Linked DNA regions of Macaca mulatta. The protein of the gene in region 2 interacts with the protein of the main gene of each other region in a biochemical or structural test. Links are inferred from orthologs where the notes say so. Each region holds a gene or a part of one and is shown on either strand. Other genes may lie near its edges.

The links. The genes of interacting proteins can lie anywhere in the genome.
Region 1: the proteins of ACTB (region 2) and HNRNPU form a complex in vitro, tested with the Homo sapiens proteins (2 studies listed by BioGRID). The link is inferred for Macaca mulatta from reciprocal best matches to the Homo sapiens genes ACTB and HNRNPU.

What each region holds. Positions count from the first base shown.
Region 1 is NC_133406.1:4,246,174-4,250,433, reverse strand, and holds the start of HNRNPU (heterogeneous nuclear ribonucleoprotein U), read right to left. Parts: upstream 2,801-4,260; 5' UTR 2,563-2,800; coding exon 1,872-2,562; intron 977-1,871; coding exon 865-976; intron 778-864; coding exon 704-777; intron 1-703. UniProt on the Homo sapiens protein: DNA- and RNA-binding protein involved in several cellular processes such as nuclear chromatin organization, telomere-length regulation, transcription, mRNA alternative splicing and stability, Xist-mediated transcriptional silencing and mitotic cell progression.
Region 2 is NC_133408.1:43,744,743-43,748,705, reverse strand, and holds the start of ACTB (actin, cytoplasmic 1), read left to right. Parts: upstream 1-1,163; 5' UTR 1,164-1,181; intron 1,182-2,039; 5' UTR 2,040-2,045; coding exon 2,046-2,168; intron 2,169-2,302; coding exon 2,303-2,542; intron 2,543-2,986; coding exon 2,987-3,425; intron 3,426-3,519; coding exon 3,520-3,701; intron 3,702-3,817; coding exon 3,818-3,961; 3' UTR 3,962-3,963. UniProt on the Homo sapiens protein: Actin is a highly conserved protein that polymerizes to produce filaments that form cross-linked networks in the cytoplasm of cells.

The DNA.
Region 1 (4,260 bases), on a different chromosome or scaffold from region 2:
ACAGTCAAAGCCCACTTAGAGGTTTGCAATACTTTCTCATACTCAATTGCAACCCAACTGGGTGAAGTAGCAGTATTTACAGTGCTGCACTGCCATTGATACCATTCGCTGCTGAAGAAAGCTAGTGGCCCAGTGATAGCCCACTGCTGCTGCCTCAGGTCTTTGGAAGAAATCAACTTATGTTTAAAGCAGCAGCTACTGAACTGGAATTGAGAACAAAAGAGCAGTTATTGAAAAAATAATATTACAATCTTTTAGAATAGGGAATATACTTGTGTGCTAATGGGAGAAGTCATTAGTAAATATTTAACTAGCCCAAATAGCTCACTTAATATAATTCCACAAAAAAATGAATTACTTTATTGTAGAAGCCTGTAAGGCTAAATTATAGGTAGTGTTACAAGTTTCCGTTAGCTAGTCAGAAACTGGCATTAATTTTACATTTCCTAAGAACGAGAACTTTCAAGTCATAAAAATATGAAACTCCTAGAGCCTGTAAAATAATCCATTTGATACAACTGATGCCGTGCTAAATATTAAACTACTAGGTTCTGAATATAAACCATTATCTCTTCCTGCTTTTAAAAAAACCTAACCCAACTTTTGCTGCACTTAAGCATTAAGTTTTCTAACATTTTGGAAGCAAAAAAAAAAAAAAAACCATCACCGCATTTCATAATTGGGGAGAAACAGCTTCACTTACAAGTATCAAGACAAACCACTGTGTCATCGAAGTGTTCATCTTCTTCTTCAACCGGTGGCTGAGGAGATTTGGCTCTGAAAGACAGAATTGTCTCCTGATACAGCTTTCCGATCAACGAACGAATAAGGGATGACAAGTAAAACTAGGTGAGCATCCTATACCTGCTATACTTGTTCTCTTCAATGTACTCAAAATATCCACGGCCATGATCTTCTCGTGGTCTTTTAACACCCCTCTTTTTATCTCCGCCTTTCTGTTCTGTTTTGCCGTCCCCTAAAACACACAAGACCCCCATAAGAGGCCAAGCCGCTAAACAACAACAAAAAAACGCTTTTCCGTTCCGAGAAGCAAAGCAGCTCGACTTTATCCTGCTTTTTAACCGAGGTTTTAACCGAGGACTCAAATGTGAATTCGAAGAACAATCAGCTACGAATTGGATTAGCGCTAGTGACGCAGTCTAAAGACGTTACGAATTTTGCCAGTCTCCTCGATGATTCGAGAAACCCAAAGAAAAACTGCGCGGCCCAGGCCCGAAGCCCACGTGTATCGCGACCAGGGCGCAGGAGGGGGAGGGGCCGAGCCCGGCGCGGCGGCGCTCCCCTCCCCCGCGGGCCCGCGCTCCCCGCGGCCGCATTGTACTGATCTTCCGCCCCCCGCCCCGCCCCGCCCGGCTCCTCCCGCAGGAAGTGACGTCACGCCGAGCCCCTGCGCTCCTTGCACAATACAGCGGCGAGGAGCCGCCAAAGCGCGCCCGCCCCGGGACCTGGGGCCTCTCCCCTCCCCCCGAGACATGTGCCCGCACCGCGCGCACGCAGCGCGACGGCGCCACCGCGGGCCGACCGGGCTCCCTCCCGCCGCCCGCCCGCGGCTCCTCCCCCTCCAGCGGCAGCTGCAGCTCCCCCCGGCTCTCGAGCCACATAATGGAGGCGCTGCCACCGCCGTCACACACACACACACACACACACACGAACACACGCACACACGCCCCGAGCCCGAGGCCTCTCGGCTAATCTGGGATTCCCCGCGCCCCCTCCCCCACCCGCCACCCTCCCCGCGGCCCCCCGCCCGCCCGGGGCTCCCTCCCCCTGCGGGGCTCCGGCAGGCCTGGGGCACGGTCCCCACCCCGCGCGGGCCTCCCGCCGCGCGCAACGTACAACGCAGCACTCACCCGCCGCCGGAGCCCCGGGGCGACCGCCGCCTCCGCCGCCTTCCGCCTTCTTCTTACCTCCCGCCTGCTGCTGGCCCTGCCTCGCCCCGGGCGGCGCCACCGTCACCGCGAACAGCGAGGTGGGGCCGCTGCTCTTCCCCGCGGCCTCCTTGGCGGCCCCGCGCTGCTGTTGGGTCTGTTGCTGCTGCGTCGCCGGCGGTTGAGGCTGCTGCTCCCCGTGCCCGTTCTCGTCGCCCGCGCCTTCCTCTTCGTCCCCGAGCTCATCTTCCCCTTCCTGGAAACCCTGATCGTCGCCGTTCTCGTCTTCCGAGGCGGCCTCCTCCTCCTCCATCGGGCCCGAGTCGGCCGCCCCCGCGGCCCCGTTCTCCTCTCCTAGCTCCATCTGGTCGCCGTCCAGGGCGGAGATTCCTTCCTCCTCCTCTTCCTCTTCCTCCTCCTCTTCATCGCCGCCGACCGCGGCCTCCTGCTCGAGGCCTGCTCCCGAGCGCCCGGCGGAATCCCCGCCCAGGTCTAGGCTGCCGTTCCCGGGCTCCATGGCGGGGCGGCCCCCGGCCTCCTCGTCGTCCAGCGCGGCCTGGAGTCGCTCCATGAGCTCGGCCTTGAGACCCTTGTCAGAAAGGCGTCGCTTCTTGAGCTCCTCTTTCAGCTCCGACACCTTCAGCTTTTTTACATTAACAGGCGAGGAACTCATGGTGAGGGCCCCGATTCACCGCTAGGCGCTGCCTCAAACTCGGCTCCGCTCACTCGGCCACTGGTGGCGGCTGCTGCGGCTGCTCCTCGGCCCGGGCGGCGGCTGCGGCTGCGGCTGGAGATGGGGTCGTGCTGCAGAGCGGATCCGCCTGGTGTCGAACGGCGCCAATTCCTTTCACCGAGTTCGCGAGGGAGACGCGGAGACTCGCCTGGCGCGAGCGAGCACGCAACGTCCTCTCGCAGGGGCGGCGCCGCGCACGTAATATAGGCGCCCCGCCCCCTGCGCTGACGGGAGCGCTGCGCAGGAGGAAAGCCGGAGCGCGCCCGCGCTCGGCCCCGCCCATTACCGTACTTACCTCCCCGCCCCCACGCCGAACCCGGGCTGAGAGCGCGGCGCAGGCCGCGCAGTGCGCTTCCAATTGGGACTGAGCAAATGGAGGAAAAGGAAACCGCCTTTCAGTTAAACCGACTCACTGCACAATCTATTGGCCTTTCTGGGTCTTTGGTGGCTATACTCGTTTGGCTTTTCGCCTTCCCAGCCTGGAGGCTGCTTTGTCCAAATGCTTTCTTCAGTCCTCAACTTGGCATTTCAACCCGAATCCGCCTTTTCTTCCATCTTAGATCTGCCTTCTTGTATGTTTCTCCAGCTTTCCGTTTAAAACTCCTTCAAATCGTTTTGACTGGTATAACACACATTGGCAACTGTTACACGCAGGGGCTCTTTTCAGCATAATGCTGTATTTGATTTAATATGTGTAAGTCCTGCTTTGCGAATTGGATTTTAAGTTCGAGAAGGGCAAGGGCAGAGCCGTTCTTTTGTCTGTTCCACACCCCGGGTGCAGGGCCTGGGAAGTAGAGGCTTTGCTTACTACTCCATACTGCAAACCCTAGTTTACCAGCCTTTGCAGGGCTATTCTCATGCTCTTAATAACCCTAAATAAACCACAGAATTGCATTTCCAAGTTTTCTGTACCTACCACAAAGACGGACCTCCAGTAAGGCTTGTTCTGTCCACTTTAGGACCTGGTCATCGGCTATGAAGTCTCAGTAGTTAACCATGAGGGTGAGACCCAGCTAGGTCTTTGATTATAGGCCCACTTGATTCTCTTCCTATTCCTGTAGAAATACTCTTGACCAAATCATTCTGAAACTTAAAGTTCATGAAAAATCAAGGGCAGTGATTTTGTTAAAAAAAAAAAAAAAAAAAAAAGGACTATCGCTCTTGAAAAGAAATCCGTTATTTTGTATGTTAGAAGTTTACTTTTTCGCTTTAAATAAAAGATGTGATGTTCCCGAAGTTTTAGACAGGGAAGTCAGAATTTAGATTCGTGATAGAAGTTAACGTCTTAAACCCCAGATAATCTGCAGTGTCCAGCCAGTGTTCCATCTGACTAAGGAGATGGTTTATACCCACTGTTTGGTACTCTAGGTGGCACAATAATATTGCCCCATTATTAATTTGAAATTTGGAGGTATACATATTGAAATTTCTCCCATAGGCTAATGGGATTTAACTGATTGATGCATTTTACTTTTGAAGTTTATTTTCAATGGCTTTTATGAAGCATTCTGTCATACCTTGCAGCCATGTATACGTGAAATATTAACATTTGTGAAATGATTTGACTTGAAATTAATGGACTATGTACGGTACTACTGATAATCCCCAGTTCAAGTTAAGTGGTGAGGCGAGCCCCCA
Region 2 (3,963 bases):
CAAGGAGAGGGTCTTCCCAGGCTGGCTTTGAGCTCCTACCCCGCCCCGCCCCCAATCCTCTCTGGCACATGGAGTCTTGGTCCCCAGAGTCCCCCCGCGGCCTCCAGATGGTCTGGGAGGGCAGTTCAGCTGTGGCTGCGCATAGCAGACATGCAATGAACGGTGGGCGCAGACCCAGGCTGTGTAGACCCAGCCCCCACACCCCGCAGTGCCTGGAGCTGCCTGGGTCACCCACTAACGCCCCAGGCCTGGTCTTGGCTGGGCGTGACCGCGTTACCCTCAGAAGCAGCAGCTCCTGGGGAAACTTTCCCTGCCCCGTAGAGCCCACCTTCCCAGGGCCGTGGCTGGGTGGGTTTGCAGCTTTCATCACAGGCCACCTCAAGCCACTGGACCGCTGGCGCCTGCCCTGTCCTGGGCAGTGTGGTCCTGCGACTTCTAAGTGGCCGCGAGGCCCCTGACTCCCCCAACACCACACTCTACCTCTCAAGCCCAAGTCTCTCCCTAGTGACCCACCCAGCCCATTTAGCTAGCTGAGCCCCATAGCCAGAGGTCCCGAGACCTGCTTTCAGGGCAGTTGCTCTGAAGTCGGCAAGGGGGAGTGACTGCCTGGCCACTCCATGCCCTTCAAGGGCTCCTTCTGCAGGAGCGCACAGCACCCAGGACCCTGGCACCCGTGCAGACCCTGGCCCACCCGACCTGGGCGCTCAGTGCCCAAGAGATGTCCACACCTAGAATGTCCCGCGGTGGGTGGGGGGCCCGAGAGACGGGCAGGCCGGGGACAGGCCTGGCCATGCGGGGCCGAACCGGGCACTGCCCAGCGTGGGGTGCGGGGGCCACCGCGCGCGCCCCCAACCCCCGGGCCCAGCACCCCAAGGCGGCCAACGCCAAAACTCTCCCTCCTCCTCTTCCTCAATCTCGCTCTCGCTCTTTTTTTTTTTTTCGCAAAAGGAGGGGAGAGGGGGTAAAAAAATGCTGCACTGTGCGGCGAGGCCGGTGAGTGAGCGGCGCGGGGCCAATCAGCGCGCGCCGTTCCGAAAGTTGCCTTTTATGGCTCGAGCGGCCGCAGCGGCGCCCTATAAAACCCGGCGGCGCGACGCGCCTCCACCGCCGAGACCGCGTCCGCCCCGCGAGCACAGAGCCTCGCCTTTGCCGCTCCGCCGCCTGTTCACACCCGCCGCCAGGTAAGCCCGGCCAGCCGACCCTGGTAGGCGGCTCCCGGCTCGGCTGCCTAAGGCCGCGGCCCCTTCGCCTGTGTAGAGCCGCCTGCGCCGCAGCGGGGGTCGCATGTGGGGACTGGACTGCAGTGGGGGACGCGGGAGAAGCCCCTGGGCCTCCAGAGATGTGGGGACACCCCGCTTCAGTTTGGCGGCGCGGGGCCCTGCTCGGGAGGCGCGCTCTGGGGGTGCTGCTCTCGGGATGGGGGCAGCCGGCGGGGTCTTTGTCCGAGCCGGCTTCTTGCCAGTGGGAACTGCAGGGTGGGCGCGGCGGAGCCCCCCCGCCAGGCTCGGTGGGGGGCTGGGGCGCCATTGCGCGTGCGTCCTGGGGCTTGGGGCGCTAACTCTGCGTGCGCGCTGGGAATCGGCGCTAGTTGCGCGTGCGCGCTGGGACTCCAGGCGCTAATTGCGCGTGCGTTCTGGGGCCCGGGTGCCGCGGCCTGGGCTGGGGCAAGGGCTGGCCCCGCCGGAAGGGGTGGGGTCGCGGAGGCTCCAGGGCGCTTGCGCGCACTTCCTGCCCGCGCCGCCGGCCGCCTGAGGGTGTGGCCGCCGCGCGCGCGCGCGCCGACCCGGCGCTATTTGAACGGAGCGGAGGCGGGGCCGGCTCCCGGTTGGGAGGGGGTGGGGGCCTGGCTTCCTGCCGCGCGCGGTGGGGACGCCTCCGACCAGTGTTTGCCTTTTATGGTAATAACGCGGCCGGCCCGGCTTCCTTTGTCCCCAATCTGGGCGCGCGCCTGCGCCCCCTGGCGGCCTAAGGCCTCGGCGCGCCGGAAGTGGGCAGGGCGGGGGCCACCTCGGCTCACAGAGCGCCCGGCTTTCCCGCAGCTCGCCATGGATGATGATATCGCCGCGCTCGTTGTCGACAACGGCTCCGGCATGTGCAAGGCCGGCTTCGCGGGCGACGATGCCCCCCGGGCCGTCTTCCCCTCCATCGTGGGGCGCCCCAGGCACCAGGTAGGGGAGCTGGGTGGGTGGGGCGGGCCCGGGAGCGGGCGGGAGGCGAGGGCGCTTTCTCTGCACGGGGGTCTCCCGGTTTCTGGGGTGGGGGCCGCGCCCGTGCTTAGGGCGCCTTGTTTTTTCTTTCCTAGGGCGTGATGGTGGGCATGGGTCAGAAGGATTCGTATGTGGGCGACGAGGCCCAGAGCAAGAGAGGCATTCTCACCCTGAAGTACCCCATCGAGCACGGCATCGTCACCAACTGGGACGACATGGAGAAGATCTGGCACCACACCTTCTACAATGAGCTGCGTGTGGCTCCTGAGGAGCACCCCGTGCTGCTGACCGAGGCCCCCCTGAACCCCAAGGCCAACCGCGAGAAGATGACCCAGGTAAGTGGCCCGCTACCTCTTGTGGTGGCCACCGCCCTCTTTCCTGGTCTCCCGGAGCTGCGCCCTTTCTCACTGGTTCTCTCTTCTGCCGTTCTTCGTAGGACTCTCTTCTCTGACCTGAGTCTCCTTTGGAACTCTGCAGGTTCTATTTGCTTTTTCCCAGATGAGCTCTTTTTCTGGTGTTTGCCTCTCTGACTAGGTGTCTAAAACAGACAGTGCTGTGGGTATAGGTACTAACATTGGCTCGTGTGACAAGCCCATGAGGCTGGTGTAAAGCGGCCTTGGAGTGTGTATTCAGTAGGTGCACAGTAGGTCTGAACAGAATCCCCATCCCAAGACCCCAGCACACTTAGCAGTGTTCTTTGCACTTCCTGCATGTCCCCCATCTGGCCTGGCTGTCCCAGTAGCTTCCTGAGTGTGACATGGTGCATTTCTTCCTTACAGATCATGTTTGAGACCTTCAACACCCCAGCCATGTACGTGGCCATCCAGGCTGTGCTGTCCCTGTACGCCTCTGGCCGTACCACTGGCATCGTGATGGACTCCGGTGACGGGGTCACCCACACTGTGCCCATCTACGAGGGGTATGCCCTCCCCCATGCCATCCTGCGTCTGGACCTGGCTGGCCGGGACCTGACTGACTACCTCATGAAGATCCTCACTGAGCGCGGCTACAGCTTCACCACCACGGCCGAGCGGGAAATCGTGCGTGACATTAAGGAGAAGCTGTGCTATGTCGCCCTAGACTTCGAGCAGGAGATGGCCACGGCGGCTTCCAGCTCCTCCCTGGAGAAGAGCTACGAGCTGCCCGATGGCCAGGTCATCACCATTGGCAACGAGCGGTTCCGCTGCCCTGAGGCTCTCTTCCAACCTTCCTTCCTGGGTGAGTGGAGACCCGCCTCCCGGCCCTGCCTGACCTGAGGGTCACCCTTCGGGCTGTGCTGTGGAAGCTAAGTCCGCCCTCATTTCTTCCTCAGGCATGGAGTCCTGTGGCATCCACGAAACTACCTTCAACTCCATCATGAAGTGTGACGTGGACATCCGTAAAGACCTGTACGCCAACACAGTGCTGTCTGGTGGCACCACCATGTACCCTGGCATTGCTGACAGGATGCAGAAGGAGATTACTGCCCTGGCGCCCAGCACGATGAAGATCAAGGTGGGTGTCCTTCCACCCTGAGCTGACCTGGGCAGGTGGGCCATGGGGCCCTGTGGTGTGTGGGGAGCTGTCACATCCGGGGTTCTCACTGCCTGTTTGTTTCCTTCCCTCCTCAGATCATTGCTCCTCCTGAGCGCAAGTACTCTGTGTGGATCGGCGGCTCCATCCTGGCCTCGCTGTCCACCTTCCAGCAGATGTGGATCAGCAAGCAGGAGTATGACGAGTCTGGCCCTTCCATCGTCCACCGCAAATGCTTCTAGGC